Daphnia pulex: one gene and its partners. The protein of the gene in region 1 interacts with the protein of each later gene in a pairwise test. Links are inferred from orthologs where the notes say so. Each region holds a gene or a part of one and is shown in the gene's direction. Other genes may lie near its edges.

Region 1 (10,630 bases):
CTTTTCATGGATAACTAAGCGAGAAAATAAGAAGAGCTAATTATATACTTCGTGTTGTTCGCGCAGCACATCAGCAACGCCAGATTGAAATAATGCAAATTCACCCGAGTGGCACTGTCCCAAGAAAGATCAAAATAACAAAAGCATTGCGGCATCTTCTTAGGTTAAATATTTGACTAGCGGGAGGATGGTCATGACTTGTTCACCTTATTGTCCTAGATCGATCAATCAAAAAAAGGATCCTGCATATTATCGCCCTGAAATGCGGATTGAAGAAGCTGCACGCGAAGCGCGCTTCTTCTCCCGGGCGGAGAAATTGAAGCGCGGGTGATCTGAATTTAATTACGAAACCGTCTTGAATTAGAAATTATAGCCAGTCGGCGGCACTCAACGAGCACTACTAATGTGTTGAGAGACAAGAAATGGTAGCAGTACGAAGTTAATTCACAACTCGATTTGGGCGTGGTTGGAGTGTCAGCTTTGTAGAGCATTGTCCGACTATGGCCGTGAAAACTAGATGTACCGCAGGAGTGGTCAACGCTCTTTCAAGAATAATCGACGCATGCACAGTTTCATTGATTTTATTCCAAGATTTAAATATGATGCAACTGATGGTCAAGACAAATTTTCAAAGCACATTTTTTTCGAATACAATCTGGTAAGCCATACAGAACGGGACCGTGCGATTATTTAAGTTTCTAGTTTGAATGTTTTCATCTTCTAAATATTTGAGTACTACTTCGTATACAGAAAAATGAGTGGTGAACAAAAACTGGTGGCACTGCTGTTGAACTGAGAATTGCCCAGTGAACGCCTCGGAATTTACGTTAACAAAATAGGTATCACTGAATTTATAAGAAATCTTCGAAAACATATTCAATAAGAAAGTGAAATTTAAAATCTAGGGTAAGATATCTGTCCACAATTAAAACGTAAAATTTAAGCGTTACAGTATCTTAAATCTCTTGGGATTCGGGACAATCTTCCTTGTTGGTTTTAAACGACGACAAATCGATTTTTTGAATGAATCGTCGTCCGAGAGAGTCGACGCAATGCTTTCATTTAAAAATTTGGTATTACAGTTTATAGGAAACGATTGGTGCTGATCATCAATTATAGAGTCTTCAACATTTTCTTTGGGATGCGGTGAAGATTCAAAAAGTTTGAATTTTTTTGATGAATGTGAGTTCCTTGATAACAAGGATTTTGCCATCTCTTCCTTTGAATCAACTTCCAGAACAAATGTAGGCACACTCATCTTCTTCAATACTACTGGAAGTTCGACAGGTTTCAGAATTTCAAATTTTGTTTCTTCTGTGAACAATATACAGCACAATAAGATAAAAATTGTTAAAAATATTCAATAAATGTTATTTCACCTTGATCTCCATTTAATGGAGTAGCTATTTCATGAGAATATGGTTCTGACGACTCACTAATAGATGGTTCTTCTAAGTCCTGTAACTCTTTAAAATCAGAGCCCTTTAAAGCCTCAGAAATGAATTTTTTGTGTGAATGTGATTTGCATTTTGCATTCTCTTTCTCTGGATTAACTTCCAGAGCAAATCTGGGCACACTCTTCTTCACTAATACTGCTGGAAGCTGGACAGGTTTTAAGTTTTCAACTTTTTGTTCTTCTGTGAACAATATAGAGCACATTAAAATCATTTTTTTTTCTTTTTACTTGAATAAGAATCACCTTTTTCTTCATTTAATGGAGTAGCTACTTCATTAGAATATATTTCTGATGACTCACTAGATTGTTCTTTAAAGTACTGTAACACTGTAGAATCTGAGCTCTTTGAAGACTCGGAAATTAATTTGTTGACTGAATTAGGTGAGTTCTTTGTTAACAAATATTGAGCATCAATTTTTTGCTTTGCTGGAATAGCTTTCACAACTAATGTAGGCACAGTTTTCTTCACTGATATTACTGAAGGCTCATCAGATTTTAAGTTTTCTTGTTCTGTGAATAATAATATGGCACAATATTAAATTTTGTTTTGTACTCTTAAAATGTTATCTTACCTTGGTTTTCATTCAATGAAGTAGCCACTTCATTAGAATATGTTTCTGATGACTCACTAGACTGTTCTTCAAAGTGCTGTATCACTTTTTTAACCGAGCCTTTCGAAGCCCCAGCAGACTCTTTATTCTCTTCAGCTGCTAGTTCCAGCACAGTATTAATCCTTGTCGAACTATTATCCAAATAAGATCGAAAATCCACGTCTTTTTTGTCTTCTTGGTACTAGAGTAGTATGTATAAATCGCAAGAGTTAGAATCAGGTCTGCATAGCTCTTTGAAGAGAATTTGACATTAAAATACCTTAGTGAAGAAGGAACTCCAAAAATTATCTCTTTCTTGTAAAATTCCTTCCCAGCATTTTTTCAATCTGTCCATCGTGTTGGATTGTCATTTCATAGTTTCGAAATTATTGATCCATTATTTCAACAAGTAGGCCACTCTCTTAACACCAACAAGAACATAGCATCCGACGCTTTCGAGTTTTGAATTCACCTTTGCAACTTAATTTCGTCTGCTATAACTTTTGCAACAGTGTTTATCTGACAATTAGGTGATGATTGAAAATTTGAAACATATTATTCCAGAATATATGGATGAAGGAAAAATGTGGTGTATTATTCACAATTGTATCATCAAAATTAAAAATAAGAATCAAAAGACCCCAAGTAATTCCCTGAGGATTGCTTGTTTCAGGCAATCAAGAAAAATGAATTGCAAAAATTTTCAGCAGTTAATTCATTATCTTGATCCAATCTTTAAAACTGGATTTTTTTTGTATGACATGTAATCATCATATTTGAAGAATGAAATTTCAGTTTCATGTCTTACATCACTCTCCTTGAGTGTCCTTTCCGCTTTAAGGATGAGACCTTCATCATTCTCGTGGTTAATGACAGGATCATTTGTTTTAGCTCCATGTGCATGGTGCTCAATCTGTAGAAAACCATAGAAAAAACAACAAATACATAAAAATAGCAGTAAGATGTTATTCAAATAACCTTCAAAGTGTCATATTCGTATTTTCGAAAAGGTGGTGGCAGTCCCGGAGCAACACCCAACTCTTGAATTATTCTAGTTTTCAACTCTTCAGTTGTAAGGGAAAGTGGTACATTCTTTAAAACCACATTGCGAATGTTTCGATATTCAAACGACCGGATGACTCGAATAATGATCGTGGCTGTCTCCATTGATAAATTGTGCGGGGCAGTTTGTTTTGAACTGATGTGATGTTGCCACTGTCGAAATAGTTTAACAAATTTTGAATTATTACAGGGTACGCTTAAAATGTATAGAATAAATAGCTCATAATAGTTTTGAAAATTACACTCCCGACGAGGTCACACAATATTAGTAAAAGCTGATAGAAAAGAAGCAATTTAGTATTTTGGCTAATGATTCTATCTGGCAATGTTTATTTGTGCTCCACTCCTCCCCCAGTGATGACAGATCAACCGGCCACGTAGTAGAACTATTCAACAATCCTCACAACAAAATGGTTTAACATTAATACTACTTGTTTAAATCATAACAATTATTGAGCTAATTTCATGTTATAATTTTTTATAGCCGCTGAAACTAGATATCAAGAGAAGGCTTACCGCCCGTTCGGATCGCGTGAAAAGTGTCGACTTGCATCCAACAGAGCCATGGATGTTGGCCTCCTTGTATAATGGAAATGTGCATATTTGGAACCATGAATCACAACAAATCATCAAATCTTTTGAGGTAAAATGAGTACTTCATTGAATTCTTCCTTAATGACTTGACCATTACTTGCCCTTTTGTAGGTTTGTGACCTGCCTGTTCGTGCTGTCAAGTTTGTCCCAAGGAAAAACTGGGTTGTTAGTGGTTCTGATGATATGCAGGTATAGTTTTCTTGATGTCTTATCCATTTCAGATTAGATATAGTTTAATCCTCTTTAAATTGTTCCAGGTCAGAGTGTTCAACTACAACACACTTGATCGTGTGACAGCATTTGAAGCTCATTCAGACTATGTTCGTTGCATTGCTGTGCACCCCACTCAACCCTTTCTATTAACTAGCAGTGGTATGTAAATAATCTGTTTTTCTAACAGATTCAGTGTTCATACAGTCTTTCTTCATTTTAGATGATATGTCAATTAAGTTGTGGAATTGGGAAAAGAACTGGGCATGCCAACAAGTCTTTGAGGGTCACACCCATTATGTTATGCAGATTGTCATCAATCCAAAAGATAACAATACATTTGCTACTGCATCTCTTGATAGAACAGTCAAGGTATGTTTTTACGAAAATATTTTGCCAGAAATTTAACTTAAAATCAATTTATTACGGTCCCTCATTCAGGTCTGGCAGTTGGGCTCGAACACACCGAATTTCACTCTTGAAGGCCACGAGAAAGGAGTAAATTGCGTCGACTATTACCACGCCGGCGACAAACCTTACTTAATTTCAGGTGCAGATGATCGGCTTGTTAAAATTTGGGATTACCAGAATAAAACCTGCGTCCAAACTTTGGAAGGGCATGCACAGAATATTTCTTCTGTTGCCTTCCACCCCGAACTTCCAATTCTGCTTACTGGATCTGAAGATGGAACAGTCAGGTAAATTTATTATTCTCTTTATTTATTTTTTAGTCAAGTATACTATTTTCTCTAAATCGTAGAGTATGGCATTCAAATACCTACCGGTTGGAGACTACTCTCAATTATGGGCTGGAGCGTGTCTGGACCATTTGTTGTTTGCCTGGGTCTAATAACATCGCTTTGGGCTACGATGAAGGATCTATCATGATTAAATTGGGCCGAGAGGAACCTGCAATGTCCATGGATCAAAGCGGTAAAATTATCTGGGCCAAACATTCAGAGATCCAGCAGGCCAATCTCAAAGCGCTGCCGGACTCGGAGATCAAGGATGGAGAACGTCTTCCTCTTGCCATCAAGGATATGGGTGCATGCGAGATTTACCCTCAAACTGTCGCTCACAATCCAAACGGAAGGTATGTTTGCTAACTGCTCATGGCATAGAAACCAGTAAATAATAAAATTCCGTTTCATAATAGATTCGTCGTTGTTTGTGGTGACGGCGAGTACATCATCTATACAGCTATGGCTCTGCGAAACAAAGCTTTCGGTTCAGCTTTGGAGTTTGTGTGGGCAGTGGACTCATCCGAGTATGCTGTTCGTGAAAGTGCCACGTCGGTCAAAGTTTTTAAGAACTTCAAGGAAAAGAAACAATTCAAACCAGAGCTGGGAGCCGAAGGTATATTGTGCATAGTAATTGAAAACAGAATGAAATATTGATTCTAATTAAAATTTTACATTCACAGGAATCTTTGGTGGAGCAATGCTTGGGGTCCGGTCTACCAACAGCTTAGCTTTTTACGAATGGGACAATCTGACACTGATTCGTCGGATTGAGATCCAGCCACGTGGTGTGTATTGGTCGGAAAATGGTGAATTAGTTTGCATTTCTACCGAAGACAGCTATTTTGTTTTGCGTTATGATGCTGATGCCGTGGCCAAAAGCCTTGAAACCAAAGAAGGCTTGACCGACGATGCCGGAATTGAGGTGATTTTATTTAAAGACAAAGTGTTAGTACATTTTTAAAAAATATTTTCTGAATGTTTAGACGGCGTTCGAAATGTTATCTGAAGTGCAAGAAAGTGTTAAGACGGGACTTTGGGTGGGCGATTGCTTTATCTACACCAACAGTGCCAACCGATTAAATTATTACGTCGGTGGGGAAATTGTCACAGTGGCCCATCTCGACAGGTATGGCTTGAAAGTTCACCATTCTTGCAATAATCAAACCGATACTATTAAACCCATGTGTAACTTTTGTTTCCAGAGTGATGTACTTGTTGGGCTACATTCCCAAGGACAACAGTCTTTACTTGGGCGACAAGGAGCTAAATGTAGTTTCCTACGGCCTGCAACTCTCGGTGCTTGAATATCAAACCGCAGTTATGCGACGAGACTTCGAAACAGCTGACCGAGTGCTCCCGTCGGTTCCCAAAGAGCAACGCACTCGAGTGGCTCATTTTCTTGAGAAGCAGGGATTCAAAGAACAGGCATTGGCAGTCTCCGCTGATCCTGAGCATCGCTTCGAACTGTCACTTCAGCTTGGTCAATTGCAACTGGCCTACCAACTAGCCTGCGAGGCTCAGAGTGAGCACAAGTGGAAACAACTTGCTGATCTGGCCACAACCAAATGTCAGTTTGAGTTGGCTCAAGAGTGTCTTCACAAGGCACAGGATTTCGGAGGACTCCTACTTTTGGCTACAGCATCCGGTATGTCATTTTACATTGTTTCGTCCTTTGTTCAGATAGTTAATATGTTGAATGTTCAGGTAATGCCGAAATGGTGCAGCGATTAGGCGATGACGCAATTGGAGCTGGCATGAACAACGTTGCCTTTTTGACGCGCTTCCTGAGTGGCGATTTGAACGCTTGCCTTGAGATCTTGATCAACACCCAACGCATTCCCGAGGCTGCCTTCTTTGCTCGCACTTATCTGCCTAGCCAAATCTCGCGCGTGGTCCAGCTCTGGAAGCTCAGTCTTAGCCAGGTCAATGCAAAAGCTAGCCAAAGCCTGGCTGATCCTGCCCAGTATGACAATCTCTTCCCTGGCTTGATGGATGCTCTCAAGACGGAACAGTTTCTTGAACAGAGACGTCAACAGTTGCCGGCCTCGGCTTACTCTTCGCTGCCCAACAATTGGGAGAGACACCCAGTAGAGGAGATGAGACTAGCCGAACAGAACGATCAATTCCATCATGTTACGCCCGCTAAAGTGTCCTTTGTGGAGGAGGAGAAGGAAGTTGAAGAAACCAATGAGCAAACGAATTTGAATCCTTCCGCCGGTTCGCTCCTCATACCAGAACCTGTGGGAGTCGCCGCCGCCGCCAGCCAACCTAAAAATCTTCTAGATGACGACGAAGAAGATTTCCAGCCTGCAGTTTCTGAACCAGCCCAGGGCACCAGCCAACTTGACCAAGATCTGGAGCTTGACTTGGAAAATTTGGAGCTAGACGATAACGTCGATACGTCGGAAGTGAATTTGGACGACGATCTACTCGACGATTAAAAATATGGAAGTGAACCACCCCAATTATTATTCAAAAAAATTTTTTTTTTACAAATATTTTGTCCGTATTTTGTTCAAGTTTTCAGCTTTCTCTTGAAGGAACAATGTTGTCTTGTGAGACATCTCCAACACTGATGTGGAAGACAATGTCGATATTCCAGTTAATTTGAATTGAAGTGTTTCGCCGTTCCATCTTTCGCTACAAACGAAACAATTCTACATACATTCTTGTTATACTTGAACTAGATGAGTTGAGTTCAATATAAAAAAAGTACTATCCTTCATTGTCTCCCTATGTCAATATTTTAATTTCTTTTAGTTTTGGCGCTTCGCCATGAAGTAAATTACATGCGTGTGATGACATTTTACCATTTTGTATTTTAGACCACAGAACGATTGGAATGCCGTGGAGTAATCCGACCTGAACAGTTTTCAAACGCGTAAGGTAACATGAGCGGGACATTTATGACGGTTTAGCTGTGATGTCATCGGAACCCCCCGCGGACCTGCCAAGAAGTAATGTCTTTTTAAAGGAGCTGCGGTAGGCCTACTTTAGATGTGAGTAAGCGGTCTCACGAAAGACAGAGATGTTCTCTCGCCGATGCCGTTGGGTGGGTGGTCGAGATTTAGTTCCAGTAGTAGCCGAGATCGAATGTTGACAACAAAAACGAACTCTTAACCATTTGGGATGAATATGATTTTGCCAATGTGGCAATCTGAGTTTGGCACGCCATCACGTGACACGGTGCCGATTACGAGGTTATAAGAAAGACGGAGCGAACCAAATGAAAACAAATAAAAAATGGAGAAAAACAGTCGTGTATTAAAGCTAAAGGGGGTACTCTTACAAGTTGACGATAGGGCAGTGGGAGTAACACTAATCTCCTTTCTAAGAAACTGGGAGGTCACTGGTGATATCAGCAACTGCTTCACGGTCGCAGCCCAGTCAAAAGGGCTGTCGGGATTTTTTTAAAAATGAAATTCAATCGCTGCTTGTGCTGAGTCGGTCTGTGTCCCTGTACCACAAAAACTCTTTTGAGTAAAAAAATCTTGTTCGAATAGAACTGGGATAGAAAAAAAACAAGGGAGAGAGAGATTAAACGGGATAGTCCTAATGAGAAGATATAAATAGTGTTGCTCAATAGGTTTGTATAGTAGCAGACATCGAATGCACGATTTTCAGCCTGTTAGCCATCATTAGGTAGTTGGGAGCTGCTGGGCGACTAGGTAACCCTCGAAAATAACAAAACCGAATGTTGGAGGGGGGAGAGAGGCATGGGAGTTTAACATCGCAGTATATTCGGTCGATTAAAGGTGATGTGATACGGCCTGATCTTTTCCTTGTCGAATCCACACCATCGCAGTTCGAAAGGTTCTCCTTTTTCGAATGTTATTCTAAAATAAAAAAAAACAATCTTATATTCGGCCAATTTAACCCTCGTTAAAATTGGTTCCTGACTAAACATTGGAGTCACGTTACTACGGAAATACTCCCTCCCTCCATTAGTTTAGTACATGGCTCGTTTCACTATAACACACACACACAAAAAAACGCAGCACAACAAAAGTTTTGTGTACTAATAAAATCGGGGTGCGTTATTACGATAATGAAAGAATGAGCTCGCACGCCGATGTATTAATACGCAGTGCACAGCATCCAGTCGAGCCGATAATCATAAAGAAAACACTGGTGATCATTGATGACTTTGTTTGTCAAAATATTTTCCTTTTCAACCGTGATATTCAATCTATAGTCGTCTATAGCGACGCATGCTGTCGCTATATTACATTGAATTAGCCAAGCTAGCTCGCGCGTATACATGAGACCTCAGCGGACGCAGTCGACAGTTTTTTCCTTTAAATTGTATCAATACCCATAGATTACACAGAGACCAGTCATAAACACACGGAATAACTTTTGTTTTATTTATTTTTGGGGTGTAGAGACAACGGCTGTCCACGAAAAACCAAAATTAGGCTTTGCCGCTGTTGCGTCTCTTTTCTTCCTTATTTCATATCGAATTTATAAATCCTGGAATGTTTCCAAACACAAGGACAAATGAAACACTCGCCAGCAGAACGTTTGAAGAAAACAAAAGGGAATATAAGAAAAACCGAAGATATAACAAATACGTAAAAAAGACAAGTGAAAGGAAAAGTCATGGCAAGCAGGTGCGAAAGTGTCGTCGATTTATCGACCCTTTTTCTCCGGCCGGCTCTTCTTCTTCTTTTTTCCTTTTCTTTTCTTTTTTGGGAAAAGGCCGAGAGGTCGTGTATAGGTCCATTAATCGCGCGGTCCTCCAACACGTTCCGCGCGATCCTTTTTCCAACCAAAAAGCGTTTGGTCGACGAAAGAATTTCAAAATTCCCGCGCACTAGTAAAAAACGGAACGAAGCAGAGAAAATTCCAGCTTATTGCCGACACAATAACAGCAACCAATCGAACTTGAATTTATTCTTCATGGGTGGTGTGCTGTGCTGTAGCCAGCCATACTAAAAACTAAATCATGGAAAAACAATTGAGACAAAGGCGACTGCCGACCGACTGGGTCGTCGGAAATTTCCCGTGGCCAACGGAAGCTGCGCGTTGGGATGGTCACGTCACTTTGTAGCAGCTGAGAATGGAGCCCGAGTCGATTCATTTTCAACTGACGTGGCTGGTATATACCATGCAGCAGGCCAGATGTCTTACCCAAGCTATAGATATAATAGACTACTGCATAGCTATAGCTTCTACTTCTAGACTCACAGAACAGTGTGTAGGCAGGCTACGTAAGAAATAAAAGGCCTATATGTAAAGAATTTTTCGAATGGTTGCTTTTGGGTACAAACTTCAGAAGGGAGAATCTGTAGAGACTAATGGCTTCCATAGGGTTTCCCTTACTGGGTCACTTTCGGAAACCGACGACTCTTCTTTACCCGTCGAATTGCCAACGCAACGTTGTTTCCGTTTTGGCTCTAATATCAACTCAACTGCGGTAAAAGCATTTGCGTGTTTTGCTATACAGGCCTATGTGTGTGTCATGACCATGTGCTGTCAATGGTGCAATTGCTGCCGGTCAATAAATCTTTCGATCAACAATTCTTTTCCGTGCACGATGAATGTGTAATATAGTGAGATTCCCAACAAGACAGAACGAGGTATTCGTATACATAATTGTTTTTTTGTTTAATGTGTGTTTGAAATTCGAGAAACAAACAACAAACAAACCAAATAAAAAACACCAAATTAAACAATTAGATTGAATTTCTTCTTCTCTTTTTTTTTCGTGGCCTATATCTTCTTCTTTTCTTTTCAAAATTGTCCTTACGTGTATTTTTGCGGTTGGTTTGAATCTCTCGCTCCGGTTTGTTTCTTTCGGTTGGTGGTGGTTGATGAAGTACGTATGTACGTGTATAACAAACTACAGCATAAAATATATTCAAATTTTGGCATCATTCCACGACGAATGGTAATGGTACGAGGATGACGATGACGATGACGACGAGTTGGCGACGGGGAAACTGCCCGGCAAATCAGCCGAAGAAGATGCG
Region 2 (10,942 bases), on another chromosome or scaffold:
TCATAAAACAATTGCAGCTCCACACACACCCAGGCAGACACGAGCAAAAGGACTGAAGGAACAATAAATTTAACTCTATATTGTCTTTCCCGATATGAATGCAGCTGAATTCAGACAGGGCAACCCAGCGGCGGCTGCCCCAAAACTTGCAGAAAGTCAACAGTCCTTTTGATGGCACTCTATTCAACTTCAACAAAGTTCCTGCCCAAGAGGTTTTGTTGAAGCCTGGCAATAAAGCAGCAGCAGCGGCAGCAACTTCTGGCAAAATAAAGGACAATGAGGCTACTGATGCTGTTGTCATAATCAATGTCAGTCCTTTGGAGTTTGGCAACAGTCTACTTGTCCCTAATGTGACAGCAAACATCCCTCAGAGAATCACCCAAGAGGGACTTGATCTCCTTGTGAGGCTAATGCTCCTGAGCACTGATGTGTGAGTATATACAAAGCCATTCTAAATATACCACTCGTCTGTACACAGGCAAACCCCCACCACCACCACTCAAGCCTCAATAGGCTAAAGTAAATAACGATTGTTTATTAAAACGTTTTCTTCCCTTTTATTTTTCGTCCTTTTACGTGCAGGAATTTGAAGGCCGGTTTCAACAGCCCCGGAGGATATGCATCTGTCAATCATCAGCATTACCATCTCTATTATTTGCGTGAGAGGCTCTACCTGGAAACAGCGGTATGCCATTTGATTTCCCATTATAATTGTTTAATAAACCCCCCCCCCCCCAAAAATAATTGGTTTTCAATAGGCTGTGGAGCCAATCGCTGGGCCTTGTTTCGCTTTAACTGATTTCCCATCGAAAGGTTTCGCATTTCAGCTGACGGATAACGATCCAGCACTCCTCGCCAAGTATACATATCGAAAACACTTTTCATCGTTGCGATCGATAATTTATTGCTGCTGTTGAATGGCCATTGTTGGAGTGCAGGAACGTGTTTACTTTGGTCTCTTACCTTTGCGCCAACGAGATTGCCCATAATCTGTTCGTGACTCGAGGGAAACGCTTCGGCGGAACTCTTACCACCGCCGATGTCTACGATACGCTGCGCGTGTTCGTCTGGGCCAGAGAACCTGCATTCGGTAACATGGACGTGTAGAACAAAAGAGAGAAAATATAATACTCAGATATAAATTTCCAAGTGGCGCAGCGTCCCTTTTAACTGGCATTTTTTCTCTCCCACTTTTTGCCCGCAGGAGTCAAAGAAGAAATAGGATTCAACCCTGCACTTTGCGAGCTGGCCGGCCACCTTTTGATCAAAGGTGCGTTTAAACTTGTGAAGAATCAGCATAATTTCTTCGACTATAACTGTCTTGAGGTCATTTTGCATTTATTTCAGAGCCACCAGCCTACCAGGTCGTGACGGAAAAAGAAGCCGCCCAACTGCTGGACAGCATCACGGCACCCTGGTTCGAGCGCGTCGGCGCCCAGATTGCCCATCTCTTTGCTTTTGCCACGTAGTCAAAAACGATCGCTCCCAGTTGACAGATGACTGACGTAAATGACCCTGTTGTAATTAAATCGCGCCAGCTTTTTTCTCTCGACCAGCTCAACTGGTTCCGTGAGGTTGTGCACAGCACAGACAACAGTAACGATTTTTCGGTTTATTTCGGTTTGCATCAATTTTCATTTGGAGCCGGGCCACGTTTGGCTGGGTTGAAACAATTTCAGGTCGTTTGCTGTTTTTGCCTTCGTTGTCTCTTACAAAACGCTGACCAGTGAAACACAGTTGTTTAAACTATTTTAATTTTTTATTCTGGGGGGTTTTTGTGTATATTTCATCTTGACGTGATAATTATGTTGTCAACAAAACTACGATGATAGATTCGCAGGGGGAATTCTAAAGGGCTGGAATTCCGGTAATTTATACCCCCCCCTCCCCCATTCAACCATCATTTGACAATGTCAAATGATGGTTAACGCCGTAAAAACGCCGTAAAATTCTGTTCTGTGCTGGTCACGACCGTCGTGATTCTGTAGGTTAACCGCAGTTACACTAGACATATATGTTAGAAATGATTTCTACCGTGATATTAGAGGTAGAACTAATATACTACGTTTTAATTAAAATAATTGAAACATGAAATGAAGTGAGTGAAGTTGAACTTGAAATTTATTTGATGAAATTAAATCGTCATACGTTTAAATCCAGACATGAATAACATTTTTTAGTGACGTACGGATCTCAATTGGTAGCTGTTCCCAACTCGTTTAATTCCGGATGACCGAGTCTCTGTAACTGGCGGGGGGATTTTCATATTCCGGCGGCAGATTCGGGTAAATGGTCTGATACACATTTTCTGTTGCTTCTCCTGTTGTCGTTCCTGATCCTGTCGTCGCTGGAGGTTCGTGCAGAGTAGGTGTGGGGGGTGGTGTCAGGTTTGTGGTGCTTTGGCCAGATTGGGCTGCGATTTCATTGTTAGCTGGAACGTCATTCCAGTAACGTGGAAGTTTTGGTTCTTTTTTAGTTTTCGTCCAAAATCTATCCACTGCTAACCACACACAAGCAACAGCGCAGCATTTCAGGTAGCCGGAAACCAGTTCTTGGTCGAAATTCGCCAGATTAGGCGAGATGACGTCAAAGTATCCAATTTGAAAGGTGAAGACTGGACCCATTATACCGAAAAGTCTTTGGACAATTTTCATTGCAGAATCATCCTCTTCCTCCCACTTCCAGTAGTAATCCATTTGCAATAATGTTGCAAACATAAGGTAAGCCTGAATTGCCGCTAGTGTGGGCAGCGCATTGGATAGGGCGGGGATCCACATTTCCGGAGGTGTTGAACATGTGACCCAAACAACCGGATTCCCATCGAGATGATTGTCGGGACTGCAAAGCACATCAAGTCCGTTCGGTTTGCAGGCGGCTAGAAAGTTTGGAGCCAGAGTTTCAGTTGGACCGTTGTTCACCCATAGCCAGACGAAAACACCTCCAGTAATCAACGCTACAATCCATAGCAGAAGTTGAAACAACACCAGCAATATGCCTGCAGAACGGTTTGATGATGAAACAGAACGGAATCTTTTCTTTGCGAGTAGGATGCCTGACATCAAGAGACTTACACAGCAAAAACATGTTCCTTGTAGAAAACAGACACTGTATTTTTCTCTCGGGTTACTGGATTTCATCGGATAGTTAATTTTATCGTACTCGTTGCATGTTATTTTTATTGGTTTTCCATTAATGTCCGGTTGATTAGGAGGTAGTTTGACAAAACAGATTAAAAATGTCCACACAACGATAAGTGTAATCACGTATCCGATCAGGTTTGAAAAAGCTTTTTTCCCTTTTGCGAATTTCGTCATGGTGATATGAATCGCTGTTTAGTTTGATGATTATCCGCTTCGTCTAGCGGTCGTATATATATCATTCCATGGACAGAAACTTGCTCTGCAGTTGTTGAACCGGCAATTAATCGTAAATTTCGGGATAATCAACTTGGATTTTTATTTTTTAAATTTCGTTTTTCGTTAACTTACATTTTAACGAATAATGTTCAAAAGAAATTACGAATATGCGACAATCCCTTATCTCGTAATTTGTATTGTCAAAAGTACACTTGGCTTGAATTTGACACGAAAAAGAAAACATTCGAATCTTCGTTTAAGTGGAATTTCAAATTTCATACAGTTCTCTTCGATTGTTGACTCATCTTATCGAGTTTTTTCTTAAAGCAATTCACTTCAACATTAGAAAGCACGCTCTATCATTCCTTGGGCGTAGTTAACGATAACTAAGTCGACAAGATAAGACTCGCCTACGTTGACTTCGTTCACCAACACCAGAAGAATTTGGCAATTCAAATTAAAAAAAAAAAAACTAGCCAAATCCGCACTGAACTATGCCATCTAGCGTGAAGTACCTTCATATTATATGAACCTATCGGTAGGTGGCGTTTATCTTGACTACTTCAGCGACGTGGCTCTTCTGTCATTTCATTATTCCGGAGACTTGTATACTTTATATTTGGTGACCGTTCACCGGTTAATGTCTCGCAAAAATGCTAACTAAATTTGAAACGAAATCGGCCAGAGTTAAAGGCCTTTCCTTCCATCCCAAGCGACCATGGATTCTAACGAGGTACGTGTTTTTGCATACTTTGATTCCCGTCTTGAAGTCGGCAGTTGTCAAAGTCTGAATTGTTTTAATTGAATTTTTGTCATTTAGCTTGCATAGCGGAGTAATTCAACTATGGGATTATCGTATGTGTGCGTTGCTGGATAAATTCGATGAGCACGATGGACCTGTACGTGGAATCTGTTTCCATAGTCAGCAGCCCCTCTTTGTTTCTGGTGGCGATGATTACAAAATTAAGGTACCCACCCTTGCCTGACTTGACAAATTAACAAATGCCAATAATGTATGCTGTTCCTTTAGGTCTGGAACTACAAGCTGCGGCGCTGTCAATTCACATTGTCTGGCCACATGGACTACATTCGTACCACAGTCTTCCATCACGAATACCCATGGATTTTGAGCGCCTCTGATGATCAAACTATTAGAATCTGGAACTGGCAAAGCAGAGCTTGTGTATCTGTTTTGACTGGCCATAACCACTATGTCATGTGTGCCCAGTTTCACCCCACAGAAGATTTGATTGTTTCTGCATCCCTGGATCAAACTGTCAGAGTTTGGGACATTTCTGGTATTAACAGTTGTCAACCATTTTTCACTGTCAAGATCACATCATTATTTCTATTTTTGTTAGGTTTGAGAAAAAAGAATGTGGCACCTGGACCTGGAGGTCTCGATGAACACCTCCGTAATCCTGGAGCCACCGATTTATTTGGCCAAGCTGACGCAGTTGTTCGCCATGTTTTGGAGGGGCACGATCGCGGAGTGAATTGGGCAGCATTTCATCCGACACTTCCGTTGGTCATCTCGGGTGCTGACGATCGCCAGATCAAGTTGTGGCGAATGAGTGAATCTAAGGTGACGAGAGCACAGCAGAAATGACTTGTTAATCTTCTGAAAATAACTTTTTTGTTTCTCCGTATTGTGAACAGGCATGGGAAGTCGATACGTGCCGTGGCCATTACAACAATGTTTCTTGCGTCTTGTTCCATCCTAAACAAGAGCTGATCCTTTCCAACTCGGAAGACAAGAGTATCCGCGTTTGGGACCTCACGAAGAGGACGTGCCTCAACACTTTCCGTCGTGAACACGACCGTTTCTGGGTTATGGCTGCCCATCCAACTTTGGGTCTATTCGCAGCAGGTAAATTAACATTCTGTAACATTTCAAATTGGATCACGCTAATAATGCTAATGTGTTGTTTATTCAGGGCACGATTCCGGAATGGTGATCTTTAAGCTGGAGCGAGAAAGGCCTGCGTACAGCTTGCACGGCAATCTGCTATTTTACGTCAAGGAGCGTACCCTTCGTCGGTTGGATCTTACCACGTCGAAAGATACCGGTTTGCTGCAGTTGAGGGGCAACGCTCGCACGCCGATCCACAGCATCTCGTACAATCCTGCCGAGCAGTCTGTTCTGGTTGTCACTCGCGCTGCCAATTTAGACAATTCCATCTACGAGCTCTACTCGGTTCCAGTTGAAGCCGATTGTCCGCAAGATGGTGGCGATGGAAAACGCTCAACAGGTGTGACTGCCATCTGGGTCGCTCGCAATCGTTTTGCTGTCTTGGATCGTAACCACACGGTATGCCACGACTATAAACACCGGGTTAATGTTGGTTTTCTACAATAATTTTATTTCATTTTTCATTTTTTAGATCGTCATCAAAAACGAAAAGAACGAAGTCAGCAAGAAAATTCAGACACCTCCGTGTGATGAAATCTTTTATGCTGGTACTGGATGCGTTTTACTTCGTGATACGGAAGGCTTGACCTTATTTGATATCCAACAGAAACGTAGTGCTGGACAGGTAATAAAACTAAGCAAGTAGGTCATTCCAAGAACAACCATGTTCATTCAAAATTTTCTATGCAGGTTAAAATGACCAAATGTCGCCATGTCGTTTGGTCGGCGGACATGAGTCACGTTGCATTACTGGGCAAGCACGTCTTGACCATCGCCAACCGTCGTCTTGAAGTGCTGTGCACCATCCAGGAGAACGCCAGACTCAAGTCTGCTACCTGGGAAGATTCGGGTGTTCTGATCTACACCACTAGCCACCACATCAAGTATTCATTGATCAACGGCGATCACGGCATCATCCGCACCCTAGATCTGCCCGTGTATCTCACCCGTGTCAAGGGCAAGGCTATCTACTGTTTGGATCGCGATGCCCGTCCTCGCATGTTCCAGGTGGATCCCACCGAATACTGCTTCAAGTTGGCCCTGGTCAACCGAAAGTACGACGAAGTGTTGCACATGGTTCGACACGCCAAACTTGTCGGCCAATCGATCATCGCTTATTTGCAGCAAAAAGGTTATCCAGAGGTTGCCCTACACTTTGTCAAAGACGAAAAGACTCGACTGGCCCTGGCTCTCCAATGTGGCAACATTGAAGCAGCTCTTGAAGCCGCCAAGGCTCTAGACGACAAGTTCTGTTGGGAGAAACTTGGCGAAGCTGCCCTTCTTCAAGGTCAGGATTCTCGCTATTAGTTTTTTTTTAATGATGTTTAACTTACTTTATATTGGATCTGTAGGCAACCACCAGGTCGTTGAGATGTGCTATCAAAGGACAAAGAATTTCAACAAGTTGGCCTTTTTGTATCTGATTACTGGCAACCTCGACAAGCTAAGAAAGATGATGAAGATTGCTGAAATTCGCAAGGACACTTCGGGTCAATACCAATCGGCCCTTTTGCTAGGGGATATGCAAGAACGTGTCAAGGTGCTTCGTAACTGCGGACAGGTAATACGGGACGGTTCAGTTAACTAAGTTTTGAATGATAGTAATGTTTAAACATGGTCTAGACGAGCTTGGCTTTCCTTACTGCCGCTACCCATGGGCTTAATGAAGAGGCCGAACTACTGCAACAACAACTGGAAGCAGCCGGTCAACCAGTACCTACTGTAAATCCATCTGCTGTGTTCTTGCAGCCGCCTCCTCCAATTGCTCAGGCGGAATCCAACTGGCCATTGTTGACCGTTTCCAAGGTACGCCATTGTTCATTTGATAGATTTTAATGGGAGGGAACTTTAACATTTGAAATGAACTGGAACAGGGATTTTTCGATGGAGCCATGGCAGCTCGTACCATTGCTTCTGGATCTGCTGTTGCTACCGAGGAAGATGCCGGTGAACCTGATGGCTGGGGAGATGATGCTGATCTTGGTCTTGATGATGAAGATAAACCGGTTGGATCGGCTGGCAATGCCGAGAGCGGAGATGAAGAAGGTGGCTGGGAAGTGGGTGATGAAGATTTAGAGTTACCATCCGATTTGAGCGTTGCTGCTCATGGAGGTGAAGACGAAGACCGCGGTTATTACGTGCCACCCACTCGTGGTCAGCCTCCTCTGCAAGGATGGGCCACTCATTCGCAATTGGTTATTGATCACGCTTCAGCTGGCTCCTATGAATCTGCTTTCCGTCTCCTCCATGACCAGATTGGTGTCGTTAATTTTGCACCGTTCAAGTACGTACAATAACTGTTAATTCCTTCGTCATTTGCTTATAACATAGCGTTTCTTTCTACTCCGTTAGGCCATTGTTTACCGCAGCCTTCGCCAAATCACGAACTATGTTTGCTGGATTGCCTAATCTACCTTCCCTGGCCGCATACCCACAGCGTAACTGGAGGGAAGTTGCTGCCTCCTCTAAAGTTCACGGATTACCTGCACTTGGTGTTCGCTTGGCTGATTTAGCTCAAAGGCTTCAGGTAGGCCATCATTTTATTTTATTTTTTTTTTTTCAATTTGGGAAAGTAGTTAAATTATATTTAATTCGGTTGACAGATCTGCTATCAACTGACGACTGCTGGCAAATTCAACGAAGCTGTTGATCGTTTCCGCCTGCTTTTGTTAAATGTTCCACTCTTGGTGGTCGACAACAAAGAAGAAGTTCGCAAGGCCCAAGAATTAATTGCCATCTGTCGGGAGTATATTGTTGGCCTTAGCATGGAAGCTGCTCGTAAAGATTTGCCCAAGGAGAGTTTAGAGGATCAGAAGCGTAGCTGTGAAATGGCAGCCTACTTCACCCACTCAGAGCTGCAACCCATCCATCAGATCTTAACTTTGAGAACGGCGCTGAATCTTAGTTTCAAACTCAAAAACTTCCGCACTGCGGCCTCCTTTGCCCGGCGCCTCCTGGAACTTGGACCTAAACCCGAAGTGGCGCAACAAACTCGCAAAATCCTTCAGGTACTTCATCTGGAAGTTTATTGTGGTAACTCATGCTCAATTTTTTTTTATTTTGTGTCCACAGGCATGCGATAAAGGTGCAAATGATGAAGTCCAGCTCCACTACGATGAGCACAACCCGTTCAACTTGTGCGCTAAAACTTACACGCCCATCTATCGCGGAAAACCAGAAGAAAAGTGCCCTCTTTGTAGTTCAATTTACCAACCTTCATTGAAGGGATCCTTGTGTCAAGTTTGTACCGTTGCTGAAATTGGAAAGGATTGCATCGGATTGCGGATTAGTACCGCCCAATTTCGATAAACGAAACGTTCGTGTCCCTTGATAATTCCAGTATCGTTTATTTTATCAACTGGCCGAACCCCAGTCTTTTGATCAACAGTTTGTTATTTTTCTTTCGCTATTTGCTATGTTGGTTTGTTAATTTTGGGGTACTAGATACATTGAAGTTATACAACAAACACCTTTGGAGAACCAGTTCTAATTCAAGTATAAACTATAAAGCTATCTTCTAAACATATCCGTGTTGCTTGATTTATTTTCTGGAATTCTCGATACAAACTGATCATAATATAAAACTGTTTAATTGAGACATTACAGCTTTAAAATCAACATTATCGGGGTTTACGTTGGTAAACAAATCATAAGTTGAACAAATCACCTTTGGGTCCAAGATCTGATCTTCCAGAGGTCTACAGGTTATTTTATACACAAATATTAGACCTGATATCACAATTGAGATTCCTATGGGACAGAGCAAATGCCATGGCTTAAGCTTCTTTTCTTGATCCCCTAATTCAGGTTCTGGCTGAGTTAGATGATTCCATTTGTCAAGCAGACTAGTGATAGTGTTGTTCTCCTGTCAAGGATCAAAGAAATAATACTTGTAGGAGGTCAAAGTACAGTAACTGTTGTCTACCTGTACTCCAACATCCTGTCCTAAGCTCCCCATCCACCTCATGTTTGCATTTTTCAATATTTGGGCAGACATGTTGAGAACATTGAGGATTTCATTTTTCAGACGATAGAGCTTGGTCTGATTTTGAGTGATGTAAGCTATGCAAGAAGGACGCACACCTCCTCTTGCCTGAGAATCCTTCAAAGTAAAGTAATGAAGGATGGCATGGAAATTCTGAATGATGTTGGTCCGAATGCAAGGCACATCAGATATTTCATCCAACTTTTCCCTGTGGGATTAAAATAGTATGAAATAACCCAAAGAATTTTTGAATAATTTAAAATAAATACCCTGGAAAATTCTGATAATCTGTTGTCATTATGTAAAGAAGAAATTCATCCAGATTGAAATTCTCATTGTTATTCAGATGAGGTAGAACAGCTGGGATAGTCAAAACACAACGAGGCCCTTCGACTTCACAGAATTCGCTTATTAGAATAAAGTCTCTAATCGTTTGGCTACTAGCCATGTTATTATTGATTATTACAAAGACTTTTCATTAGGCTGTACAAGCAATTTAACGTGCAAATATTTATTTAAGTTACCCATACGAAGTAAGTACAATGACAATCACATTAAACCAACATTGTGTTGATTTTGAAAGACGAGTGAACTTTTGTCTTGGTGACAGTCCAGCAGGGACGTCTGCTAGGTGGTTCGTGGTGGTGACAAAATTTGTTGCTAGATGGCAGTAAAGAAGGAAGATCGGACCAGACGAAAAGTTTGATACGAAAAATTTTGTTTAACAAAACTTGTTTTTGGATTTGTAGTTGTGTAAATATAATTTGTAATCATGGATTCGTCAGAAACATTTTCTGGCGACTTAAAAACAATACCAGAAGACTTGGAAATAGATATAAGTGAAGTCGAAGAATTGCGGGTTTGTAACATTCCATTATTAAGTACTGATTTTATTTACACTAAGATTGGCTGCGTATCGTGCAGGAAATCGGACGAGGAACTTTTGGGGTGGTATACAGAGGTGTTTGGCGATCCAAAGTTGTGGCAGTTAAAAAAATTAACACATCAGCTGAACAAAAAACCTTCATGATTGAGATAAGGCAACTGTCAAGAGTATCACATCCTAATATAGTAAAGCTGTATGGAGCTTCCACAAAGAGAACAGTTTGTCTTCTCATGGAATTGGCTGAAGCTTCATTATATGATGGTAAATTCCTACAGTTTTTTACACTAGAACTTTAACTACATTACTTGAGTCTAGTTCTACATTGCCGCTCCAAGATATCTTATACCTTCCATCACGCTATGAACTGGGCTCTGCAGTGTGCAAGAGGAGTAGCTTACCTACATGGTATGAAGCCTTGTGCCATCATTCACAGGTGTTTTTTCTTACATTTAACTTCATTGGTGTGTAACTAAATTAATTTCATTGTGGGGGTGCTTACAGAGATCTTAAGCCACCAAACCTCCTATTAATGATGGAGGGTAGAGTTTTGAAAATTTGTGATTTTGGCACTGCATGTGACATGAGAACTCAAATGACTAATGGGCAAGGTAGTGCTGCATGGATGGCACCTGAAGTTTTTGAAGGTAACACTTAAGAAGATTTGCAAATTTCAAAATTATTGGCTCAATTTTCTTCTTTTCTAGGCAACCACTACACTGAAAAATGTGATGTGTTTAGTTGGAGTATCATTTTATGGGAGTTACTAGCCCGTCAAAAACCGTTTAGTCACATATTAGACTCGG
Region 3 (10,870 bases), on another chromosome or scaffold:
TTCACAGTCAGATTCGCCGCTTCTTTTTCTTTTAAGATCAATTTTCTTACTAGTTTCAGTCTTCTTAGATGCTTTCTTGGTACTGCTCTTGGGTATTTCACTCTTTTGAATATCAATATTAAAACCAGAAGCATTATCAAGAGCCACAGTGTCAGAACTGTTAGCTGATGAAGAATCAGATTCGGATACAAGTTTTGATATTTTCTTCTTGCCACTAATGACAGTCTTTTGTTTTTCCTCTTTCTTTTCCTTTTTCTTAGGGGAACCTAAAAATTTAATTAGCGGGACATCACTCGAATTAGAGTCATCATCCACTTTTGACAATGAAACTGGTTTGCTATTTTGCTTCTCATCTTGATCAGTAGAACTATTAGATGAAGAATCAGATTCAACTATGACTTTCAGCATTTTCTTCTTGCTGCTACTGCGAGCAACAGTCTTTTCTTTTACCTCAGTTTCATTTGTCTTTGCGGAAGCCACAAATTTGATGAGAGGAACATCACTTGAATTTGAGTTGTCATCTACTGTTACCAATGATGAAGCTGGTTCGTTTTTTGGCTTTGAAATATTGTTCGGCAAACTCAAAGGAGATTTTGCTTTCAATGCTTCATGATCATTCAAGCAAAGTGAACCTGAGCTATTGTTAGCAACAGGAGATTTGATGTCTTTCAGTGGTGAATCTGGAGTGTTAGACTCTGACTCGGAAGACGTTCCCGAATCAAGGGCTTCCATTACTTCATCGTCCATTTTGAATTTTCAAATATTTAAAATAAGCTGAAAGGTATATAATAAATTTTACTTGTAAATTCTAAACGACGAAATAAAACAAGTAATTTCTAAAGACTGTTCCAAAAAACTGGGGAAGTGAAACTGAGTGTGTTTGGCGGGAAAACGACAAAACCTTAACGTGTTGAGCGTGGATTTGTGGTCTGCTAAATGCCTATATTCGCCATCTAGCGATACTTTTTAGAGTCGATTAGCCTATACTGAATTAAAATTTGAGAAATACTGTCAGCAATTTATTTAAATTCGCTGTTAATATACCATTTTACCATATAACGAAATTAATTACATGAACTCATAATGTAAATCAATAACTTGGGGATAAATATTCAAAAACAGATAAAGACTTATTTGGGGTCGTCTTTTATAGCTGCTCCAAATGCAGAAAGAGCCAATGTTTCGACAAGCATTCTGGCATCTTGAGATTTAGAATGTTCTCTTTTATTGCCAACTGTTTCATCTATGAATAATTGCTTAAATTGGCGTTTGAGACGACGGAGCAAATTTCCAGAGTTCCAAACTTTAGTCATCTCTTGACTCAAATAAGTTACAATGCGTGCCGTCTCCAAATTAGTGGGAATTTTACCATCTTGGCATAATTTAAACGTGACTAATGCTTCGTCAGGTCGAATTTTCGTAGGCTTAAATCGCACTCCTACCAGTTTCCCTCCAACTTCCTAAAAAATATACACAATTATTTTAATTACAAAATTCATTTGAATCGAACAAGTTGTTGCTGACCGTCATTCGAAGTCTAGCGGAAAGCGGAGGCAACGATACGCGAGATTGTGGAGGGAATCCTGGTTTTGCATCCATAAAAAAATGGAGTGGGCCGATTATTAATGTAGCATCGACATTGTGTGTGGTAGAATTTTCTCTCACTCCAATCAAAACATCGCCCTCCCTTTTAATCTGATCAATGCCTTCCACAGTAGCACTTGGTCTGCGTGAATTGCGTCGAGATGAACCTCGTTTACCCTCCAGTTTCTTGACCGGGCGGCCAGTGTCATCTCTGTAAACGAAACAGCAAATTAAAATGAAAGCTGTAATTTCATTGCTTTAAGTTAGGTATTACTGAAATTTTTCTGATGAAATATCCTCATTGAATTCCAGTTTTCTTTGCTTAATATCGTTTTCATTGAGCAGCTGAAGATTGTACTCGATAGTGCCGTCGTCGAGCACAACAGGAGATGGCTTTTGGGTCCGATAAAACTGGGTTGCATTAGTCTTCTGTGGTTGTTTAAAATTAAGGGAAATTTCTGTGGCTGTTTCATAATCATCGTCGTCGTCATTCTCTTCTTCAGTTGCTATGATCTCTTTTTCTTCCGAAACAGTGGAAGACTCTTCAGCAATACTTTCGGTTGCGATTTCGATTGCCGCTTCCCCTTCCACATTCGTCTCATCATCATCGACGTCTTCATCACTTTCGGTTGCATCGCTTTCAACTGCTTCCGTTCCGGGATCCCCAGCGGCTCTTTCTGTACGAATTTTCCTTTCCACTTCGGTTGTTTGCGTTTCATTTATTGCAAGGAAAGCCCAAGGAGATATTTTCATGTCCTCGCGAAAGTTGCTAATGACGAGAACAATACAATGTAATGAGTAAATGTATAGAAAGTTTTTAGAAAATTATAATAAACTCACTTCAATTTTAGTGAAAACGTTGATGAATTTTCGTTGGCTAAATTTAGAGACAAACTCTCGAGCATTTCATCCAGAGCTTTGTTCAATTGATCTGTACTAGACGAACGAGCCAAGTATTGAATTGGTTTAAAAATGGGTCGTTTATTCTTTCCGTATCCTTTCTTGTCATTCTGTGGGCGGCGTTTGCGTCCATTGGGTTTTTTACCTAGTGATTCAGAAATATGTACAATATCACTAAATAAAATTGGGACTTTTAAAAATTACCTTTCTTCCTCAGTTGATTAATACGATTCTGACGTCGCTTATTATTTCGACGTTTCTTTTTCCTGCTTTGCCTTCTCTCAACACTTGTAGCTGATGAAATTTCTTCGACATTGACGTCGACTGATTCTACTTGAAGATCCGGAAGTAACAATTTCGTTTCATTCTTTGCATTGATCACGGATGTTTCGATTGTTAGGCTGCCCTCCAAACTTGCGTCTTTTTTCTCTGTATTAGAAAAATGAAATGAAATTTGTTTGTTGCTTGATGAACAAACTTAAGTTAAATTTACAGTTAAAAACTCAACCAAAGTGTTTTTTAACTGAAATTATTTTCAGTTAACGCCCTTTGATGGTAAGGGGCAAGGCACTTGGAAGCGATAGCAATACAATAACAGTTATCAGAAAACTTAGCGTGAGAGTTTCCGAGTAAGGTTATTTGAAGGGTAAAATTACGACATTAACGGACTTTTCAGTGAATTCCTTACCTTCACTGAAATGTGACAAAACAGGCGATACAAACAAAAAAACTAAAAATAGAAGGAACAATCGCATGATGAACTCTCAACAGCGAATGACGACACCCCAATTAAAAATGAACTCGAAAATCAGAAAGTCTTGTATACTGGCCGATGACTTGGAGCCGTCTGTTCACTAACAGCAGTTGTCTTTCTTTATAGCTAGCTGTAACATCATGCTCTGTGGTGCCTGTGAGGAAAAAATCAAATGTCTTTCCGATTGCCGGTGGCGTCAAAAGAAGAAGACCCTAGTTTCCCTCTTACGGGAAAGCGTGATGTTTATCTATCGTGAGGATGGCCTCATTCTACCCACACGCTTTTTTTAAATATAAGATAATTTCTTTTACGTTGAAAATATAACATGTTTGCATTATAAAACGTTTTTTAAAAATTTAAAGATATTTTACTTGAATACTTGAACTTTTTTTAGATGGAAGGCCTACCAACACAAAAAAAACAAATTTTAAGGAAAGATCATCGTAGACGCAACAATGATAGTCGCGGAAATTTCCATGATTCCTTTTGCTCAATGCCTCAGTTAGTTTAAAACGATGAAAATAAATAATAAATGAAAAGTATCCTGAACAAACATAATTACATTTGATGCTAATAACATAAAACATAAATATTTAATATCGATTAGCTATAGGCTACAGTGAGCCGAGCGAACCAACGAAGTAACGACCATATTAAACGTATTAAAGCTGGTAACTACGAAATAGAGATATAACGGCCAGTACCTTCGGATGCTAATCGTTTCCAATTCTAATTTTCTGTGATTAATGGCAAGACGATTAATATGCAATCTGCATATTGTGAAGCAGTGAAGGTATGGAGATTGTGGCCATCTGCACATTCTATTTCGAACGAACATTTCTATTATCAAATAACTAAGAACAAATTGTATCGTCTCTTAAAGGCTTTGCCGATTAAATGGACGAAAAATTCTAACTAACTCCCATCAAAATACCTTTACACATTGAAAACAAACTGACCATTGCCGAAGATGGAGACGTGACTGGTGCTGGTCTTCAAACCTGCTTCAAACGTGTCGAAGAAGTTCACAGTGGTTCAGAGAAACATGGGTGACGATGACTAGGCAGTTGACACATTGTTTATCCGGGAAACCCACAAAAACTCTTGTTTTGATGGTACAGAGAGAGAGTATGCCTGGAAAATCTGGAAACCAACACAAGCTGGGACTGAATATCTATTTTGAATAAAAATAACAAAAAAACAACGTCAAAATTAAAACTCATAATGGCAACATGGCTGCGTGGTTGTCAATTTTACGAATTAAGATCTGTCGCTTACCGACTGACGTGGGTATTTTCTGACATTCTGCAACGTCAAAGGTTTCGTGAATTTCCTTCGTTTCATATAGTTACGGCTCACACAGAAAACACAACAAGCCGTTGTAATACAAAGAAATCAAGGCAAGTCATCCGACATTTTGGAATCGTTATTCAGTGTTCAACAAATACCATCGTTATAGATTTCGAATGGGTTGCGGGTCGCTGTCACAATAACATTTCATCGAGCGTAAACCGGTCCAAGTTTTCACGATTCATGTATTGTTTTGTTTTTACAGATGTCTGTGACTGAGCAACCTTGTTATACCCTCATCAGTACTCCAGATTCTGACTATCCACCTCCAGATCAGCTGCGAAAAGAGTTGGAAATTGGAGATATCAAAGCCAAGATTGATGCTTTAAAAAAGGCCATTTACATAATTTTAAATGGAGAAAAGATTCCAGGAATCCTCATGGCAGTGGTCAAATTTGTGCTGCCACTTCAGGATCATAATGTCAAGAAACTTCTGTTGATATTCTGGGAAATCATTCCAAAGACTTCAGCAGATGGAAAACTCTTGCATGAAATGATTCTCGTCTGTGATGCTTACAGGAGAGATTTGCAACATCCAAATGAATTTATTAGAGGATCAACATTACGTTTTCTTTGCAAGCTTAAGGTAAGCCAATTTCTTTTATACCTTAATTTATTGATAAGCTAATCTTTTGTAATTTACTTTTTAGGAACCTGAAATCTTAGAACCGTTGATGCCATCGATCAGGTCGTGTTTGGAGCACCGACATTCTTACGTTCGACGCAATGCTGTTTTGGCAATTTACACAATTTACCGCAATTTTGATTTCCTCATTCCTGACGGGCCAGAATTGATTGCCAATTTTCTAGAACGTGAACAGGACATGTCCTGTAAACGTAATGCATTCATGATGTTGATTCACGCTGACCAAGAAAGGGCGCTCTCCTATCTTACCTCTTGCATCGATCAAGTAATAGAACTATTTTAAGGTTTCCAATTTCCAAACAAACTTAAGGAAAACAAAATCTGTTAGGTTCACTCCTTCGGTGATATTCTGCAATTGGTCATCGTTGAACTTATCTACAAAGTGTGTCACGCCAATCCTAGTGAGCGATCGCGTTTCATTCGTTGTATCTACAGTCTCTTGAATGCCACCAGTCCGGCCGTTCGCTACGAAGCTGCTGGCACTCTAGTAACCTTATCGTCCGCACCGTCGGCTATTAAAGGTATTATTCATATTCACTAATATTTAATTTGGGTTTCCAACTTAATATGTTTTCTCTTCTTCTTGAACAGCTGCTGCTAGTTGCTACATCGAAATTATCTTAAAGGAAAGCGACAATAATGTGAAGTTGATTGTGCTGGATCGTTTGATCGCCTTGAAAGAGCAGCCGAATCAAGAACGTGTCTTGCAGGTATCTTGAATTTAATCATTCACATGTTACAAAATATTAATTATGTAATTCATTTCAGGAATTGGTGATGGACATCTTGCGGGTATTGGCTACTCCAGATTTGGAAGTACGAAAGAAGACACTATCCCTTATACTTGATTTAGTGTCTTCGCGAAACATAGAAGATATCGTGCTCGTTTTGAAAAAGGTAAGAATTCCGGTGAAATGGTAAATCGATAGGAATAATTTTCTATTGATGAATTATCTTGTAGGAGGTAACAAAGACGCACAACACAACCGAGCATGAAGATACGGGAAAGTATCGGCAACTTTTGGTGCGCACTCTTCACTCGTGTTGCATCAAGTTTCCTGACATTTCTGCGACCGTCATCCCTGTACTGACTGAATTCCTTTCCGACACCAACGAGCTAGCAGCCGCCGATGTTTTGGTCTTTGTTCGCGAAGCGATTCAGAAGTTCGAAGGACTTCGTCCATTAATCATCGAAAAACTTTTAGAAGCCTTTCTTTCCATCAAGTAAGTTTAAATAACTCCATTTCGTTTTTACTGGCAGCAATTCTACATTAGATGTTTTTTTTTTTTTCAAAGATCCGTCAAGGTGCACCGTGCAGCAATTTGGATCTTGGGCGAATACGCCACTTCGGCTGATGACATTCGTTCAGTTATGTCCAAAGTGCGACAATCGCTTGGCGAAATTCCAATCGTGGATGACGAAATCCGAAAAGCAGCAGGAGAGCAGACCGATCCGGAAAATCCTTTAGCACAGGGAACTGGGAGCGTTACTAATCCTGTTGCTTCTAGCGCCCGCTTGGTAACTGCAGATGGTACATACGCTACGCAGTCTATCTTCAGTGCTGCCGTAACAACCGCCAAAAAAGAAGAAAGGCCTCCTCTTCGAAAGTATGTCAATTCTGTTGATGTCGTTCCATTTAGCATTGCATTCATAATTAAATTTCTTTGTAGATATCTGATGGAAGGCGATTTCTTCATTGGTGCATCAATGGCTACAACTATGACAAAGCTGGCCTTACGTTTTGTTCAACAAGTGTCGAACCCGCAAACGCAAAACCAGTTTTGTGCCGAAGCCATGCTAGTGATTGCAGCGATTCTTCATTTGGGTCGTTCGGGACTGCCTCAGAAACCAATTAGCAATGACGATGCTGAAAGATTGGGGCTTTGCCTTAAGGTAAGTTATCAATGGTAAAAAATGAGTGAACCCCCATTACAATTTTCTTTTTCGACATAGGTGCTCTCGGATCGATCACCGATTTTAGTAGAAGTATTTACCGATGCCTGCCGTAGATCCATTTCACTTATGTTAGCTGCCAAAGCTGAGGAAGAAGCTGCTGCCCAAAAGAACTTAGAAAAGAACAGCCGATCAATCCAAGCCGACGACTTGGTCTCTTTCAAGCAACTGCTTTCACGCAATGAACTTGGTGGCCTCGAAGACGTATTTGAATCAAGTTTGTCGCAAGCTTTGGTAGGATCCGCTCAGCGAACTGGATTAGATCTGAGCGTCTCAAAACTGAACAAGGTGACGCAGTTGACTGGTTTCTCTGATCCTGTATACGCCGAAGCGTACGTAAACGTGAACCAATACGACATCGTACTTGATGTTTTGATTGTCAATCAAACGGCTGACACCCTTCAAAACTGCACGTTGGAATTGGCAACTCTCGGTGATCTGAAACTGGTAGAAAAGCCTTCGGCTATCATTTTGGCTCCGCACGATTTCGCCAACATTAAGGCCAGCGTTAAGGTATGCTCTTTTTAATTATTACTAAATGAATTATTACTAATTGTTTTTCATGCCTGTATTTATCCATTAATTAAAGGTGGCATCGACGGAGAATGGTATTATCTTTGGAAATATAGTCTATGATGTTACTGGCTCGACATCGGACCGTAACGTCGTGGTACTGAATGACATTCACATTGATATCATGGACTATATCATGCCTGCCAGCTGCACTGATGCTGAATTCCGACAGATGTGGGCTGATTTCGAATGGGAGAACAAAGTCACCGTCAATACTAATATCAACGATCTAAATCTTTATTTGCAACATCTGCTCAAGTAAGTGGGATCATTTCTTTTGTCCTTCTAAATTTCCTAGTATAAATTAATTTCTTTGTGTAGATCGACAAATATGAAGTGTCTGACTCCAGAGAAGGCACTAGCTGGTGATTGTGGATTCATGGCAGCCAACTTGTATGCTCGTTCAGTCTTTGGAGAAGATGCGTTAGCTAATCTCAGTTTAGAGAAACCATTCGGTAAACCCGACGCACCAGTTACAGGACACATTCGAATTCGTGCCAAGAGTCAAGGAATGGCTCTCAGTCTCGGCGACAAAATTAACACGATTCAAAAGGCTTCTGTAAAGTCTCCTGTGGCTTAAAATGTAATTGTAGAATTTTCCTCTACAATTATTTCCATACTTTTTTCATTCATTTTCTATGATTCAAAACTTTTCCCAAATTCAAATGTCTATTTGTTGCAAGTATTTTCCCCTCATCTACATTCTTTTAGAAATATTTGGAATGCAGTTGTTACTTGATTAGTTTTGCATCATCAATATAACTGTGGGCTGTTATATTAAAATGTAGTTCACAATTGCTGCTCTTTGCATATAAAATTAATCAATGCATGCAAATACGGAACTTTGAGATAGGACCAAAATTAAATTAAAACTAGCATACTTGTGCGCGATATTGGGAAATGCTTAACTTAAATTGACGCCATTTCTTTGCTGTCTCGATTGTTCCCTTTGTCGTTCAACATAATCTTGTTAGCACCATTTACAGTGGTGTTCTACATATTTTAAAATCACGAAAGTTAAACAGGCGTTAAATAGGACAAAGCATTTAAATTTCACATTACTTGGTCGACTAGTAGTTTTGGATAGTCCATCTGTTCAGGATACAGCCATGGCTTAAAACCCGGACTATGTAGCTGTTTCCATTCTAAATATCCCCGACATGCTTTGTGCAACGTTTTCATCATCTATAGTAGATTCCAGGAAACAACTTCACAGTTATTAACTTTCTGCTTTCAATAAATTTTTATTTCTATTACCTTTGGTGCAAAATATTGAGTGCCTTTATTGACGGCCCAAGTGGGAATTGCTCCTCTGGGATCAGTTGCAGACACATATGCGAGTGTCAGGCCCTTGGATTTCCCCGGTAAAGGTTCAATTACGTAGCCTATGCAGAACAACTTTGCGGTTAAGTATTGCTGTGAAAAAGAATTTGTGAAAAAGAAACCTGTTATGTAGGATATTCCTCTGACGAAATATTTTTTGGGGGGAAGGTCTTTGTGCGTAATGGAATGATTTAGGATAGAAATTTTCTTGGGAGTGGCTAACCACGAACGTTGAAGGACGAAATCGCGGTTCTGAATCGGCGGCGGGCACGACACTACATATATCGACCAAACCGTTATTAGGCTTTGAAAAGAGAACTTTCCCCAACCTTCAAAAATACTCACTGGCATAATAACCAACATCATTGTTGGGATTTAAGAAACCCAAAGTATAAGACTCAACCATAGCAGTATCCCAGAGTGAACGATACTCCCCATCCATGAGGAGGTCAAATAAAAGCCACATATCAACATCAGTAAAAGTTGTTTTCACCTAGAAAAAAAAATTATAGGTTAAATTTTAGACTTTAGGGGTTTAAGAGTGAATTTACTTTTATCATTTTTAAATCTGTGCTGCTTGAATGTTTGCTCCATACATTAATGTCTTCATGCTGATATTCTAGCTTCCAAGAGTTATCTGCGACCATTTGCCAAAGCTTCTCGAAATCCTCATCAGCTGCAACTTGCATCATTCCCTCTTCCATCTAAACGTTTAAAGGTTTAAATTTGCAAAAATTTCAATAACTAGGCAAAACAAGGTTACATTGCTTGAATTATAAGTGCAGTCAGTGCTCACTGACTTGAAATGCTTTCAAGAATGATTTTAATGCACACAGTATTGGTTCGGTATAGTCAATGTTGTGCATAGGCTGATTAATTGCACATTGCAATGATATCTGTAACGAAAAAAAAAAAAGCTAGTATGTTTTGTATCCATAATGTATCACTGCTAAAATGAATAATAACAATAATATAAATACAATTTCAAAATATTTACTTTAAGAGTAAGCTGTATACCACACTTCTTTTGCTGGTCTAGCTAACAATAAGACTGCTGAGCCCCTATCCATGAAACGATAAAAGAGGGATGGCTTCTTCGTCGTGTTTGGCCTTGGATATCAAAATTAAAAATCCAATGTCGGCACTACATCATAAACGCACTTTCAATTCAAATAAGGGACTGCTTCTACATTCGTAACCCCAAACATTAACTCTTCTTCTGTACGGTAATTAATTCAGTTTTTCAACTACAAGTTGTCTTGTCAGCTGTCGTGTAGGTGACGAGGACTGAAACCCGATGAGACATCAGCAGGTGATGACAACAATCCCTAAACACAGCTGGATATGACTTTTGACTTTTCGGGTTCAACAGCTTATTATCTTTTCAACCTATTTTAAAAGATTTATTGCACTGCGAGGACCTTTGGTCGCCCTATTAAATCCATCGAGCTACTATTTTATTTTACAGTTTTGTTATTGTTGTATTTCAAGGATGCGCTGTCCGCTCCGTTTGGACAATGTTAAAAATTTAAAAACAAATCGAAACAAATGATGCGTCTGATTTTATTTGCGTTCAAAGGTTCCCTTGAACACAACATTAAATTCAATGAGGAAATCACGAGCAGGGCTTTTCAACCAAATAACAATTCGAATTTATCTATAATTGGTCTAGAAAATATTTTTAGGGATCAGTTCGCTGTGGAACGTCTGTTGGAAGCAAATGTCGCACAGATGAAGAAAATTCTGTAAACTCGACACTGTCTTTATTTTTAATACGCAAGCGGAT

Evidence for each region.
Region 2: the proteins of coatomer subunit beta'-like (region 1) and coatomer subunit alpha-like interact in a two-hybrid assay, tested with the Homo sapiens proteins (2 studies listed by BioGRID, with this or other methods). The link is inferred for Daphnia pulex from reciprocal best matches to the Homo sapiens genes COPB2 and COPA.
Region 3: the proteins of coatomer subunit beta'-like (region 1) and coatomer subunit beta-like interact in a two-hybrid assay, tested with the Homo sapiens proteins (2 studies listed by BioGRID, with this or other methods). The link is inferred for Daphnia pulex from reciprocal best matches to the Homo sapiens genes COPB2 and COPB1.

The regions. Positions count from the first base shown.
Region 1 is NC_060017.1:7,290,285-7,300,914, forward strand, and holds coatomer subunit beta'-like, read left to right. Parts: upstream 1-3,353; 5' UTR 3,354-3,518; coding exon 3,519-3,521; intron 3,522-3,592; coding exon 3,593-3,751; intron 3,752-3,813; coding exon 3,814-3,891; intron 3,892-3,959; coding exon 3,960-4,074; intron 4,075-4,135; coding exon 4,136-4,284; intron 4,285-4,353; coding exon 4,354-4,610; intron 4,611-4,672; coding exon 4,673-5,005; intron 5,006-5,068; coding exon 5,069-5,268; intron 5,269-5,335; coding exon 5,336-5,577; intron 5,578-5,638; coding exon 5,639-5,781; intron 5,782-5,857; coding exon 5,858-6,300; intron 6,301-6,359; coding exon 6,360-7,096; 3' UTR 7,097-7,378; downstream 7,379-10,630. Other genes in the region: uncharacterized protein LOC124197376, read right to left, coding at 947-1,314, 1,380-1,637, 1,700-1,966, 2,029-2,248, 2,327-2,401; fork head domain transcription factor slp1-like, read right to left, coding at 10,519-10,630. UniProt on the Homo sapiens protein: The coatomer is a cytosolic protein complex that binds to dilysine motifs and reversibly associates with Golgi non-clathrin-coated vesicles, which further mediate biosynthetic protein transport from the ER, via the Golgi up to the trans Golgi network.
Region 2 is NC_060025.1:3,018,767-3,029,708, forward strand, and holds coatomer subunit alpha-like, read left to right. Parts: upstream 1-3,903; 5' UTR 3,904-4,009; coding exon 4,010-4,089; intron 4,090-4,176; coding exon 4,177-4,324; intron 4,325-4,386; coding exon 4,387-4,941; intron 4,942-5,015; coding exon 5,016-5,226; intron 5,227-5,293; coding exon 5,294-5,667; intron 5,668-5,740; coding exon 5,741-5,893; intron 5,894-5,958; coding exon 5,959-6,556; intron 6,557-6,620; coding exon 6,621-6,829; intron 6,830-6,891; coding exon 6,892-7,074; intron 7,075-7,142; coding exon 7,143-7,552; intron 7,553-7,620; coding exon 7,621-7,795; intron 7,796-7,871; coding exon 7,872-8,276; intron 8,277-8,340; coding exon 8,341-8,577; 3' UTR 8,578-8,839; downstream 8,840-10,942. Other genes in the region: GDP-D-glucose phosphorylase 1-like, read left to right, coding at 105-430, 583-685, 759-859, 939-1,090, 1,205-1,270, 1,348-1,469; guanine nucleotide exchange protein smcr8a-like, read right to left, coding at 8,840-9,133, 9,194-9,461, 9,523-9,701; mitogen-activated protein kinase kinase kinase 7-like, read left to right, coding at 10,026-10,112, 10,178-10,400, 10,455-10,572, 10,641-10,783, 10,844-10,942. UniProt on the Homo sapiens protein: The coatomer is a cytosolic protein complex that binds to dilysine motifs and reversibly associates with Golgi non-clathrin-coated vesicles, which further mediate biosynthetic protein transport from the ER, via the Golgi up to the trans Golgi network.
Region 3 is NC_060020.1:2,115,054-2,125,923, reverse strand, and holds coatomer subunit beta-like, read left to right. Parts: upstream 1-4,486; 5' UTR 4,487-4,638; intron 4,639-4,793; coding exon 4,794-5,174; intron 5,175-5,238; coding exon 5,239-5,499; intron 5,500-5,562; coding exon 5,563-5,755; intron 5,756-5,825; coding exon 5,826-5,944; intron 5,945-6,002; coding exon 6,003-6,131; intron 6,132-6,195; coding exon 6,196-6,458; intron 6,459-6,530; coding exon 6,531-6,842; intron 6,843-6,905; coding exon 6,906-7,128; intron 7,129-7,188; coding exon 7,189-7,701; intron 7,702-7,777; coding exon 7,778-8,019; intron 8,020-8,082; coding exon 8,083-8,341; 3' UTR 8,342-8,558; downstream 8,559-10,870. Other genes in the region: dentin sialophosphoprotein-like, read right to left, coding at 1-747; uncharacterized protein LOC124192347, read right to left, coding at 1,131-1,460, 1,525-1,795, 1,859-2,353, 2,425-2,629, 2,689-2,913, 3,173-3,239; START domain-containing protein 10-like, read right to left, coding at 8,671-8,754, 8,824-8,946, 9,019-9,146, 9,207-9,359, 9,430-9,577, 9,636-9,788; caseinolytic peptidase B protein homolog, read right to left, coding at 10,766-10,870. UniProt on the Homo sapiens protein: The coatomer is a cytosolic protein complex that binds to dilysine motifs and reversibly associates with Golgi non-clathrin-coated vesicles, which further mediate biosynthetic protein transport from the ER, via the Golgi up to the trans Golgi network.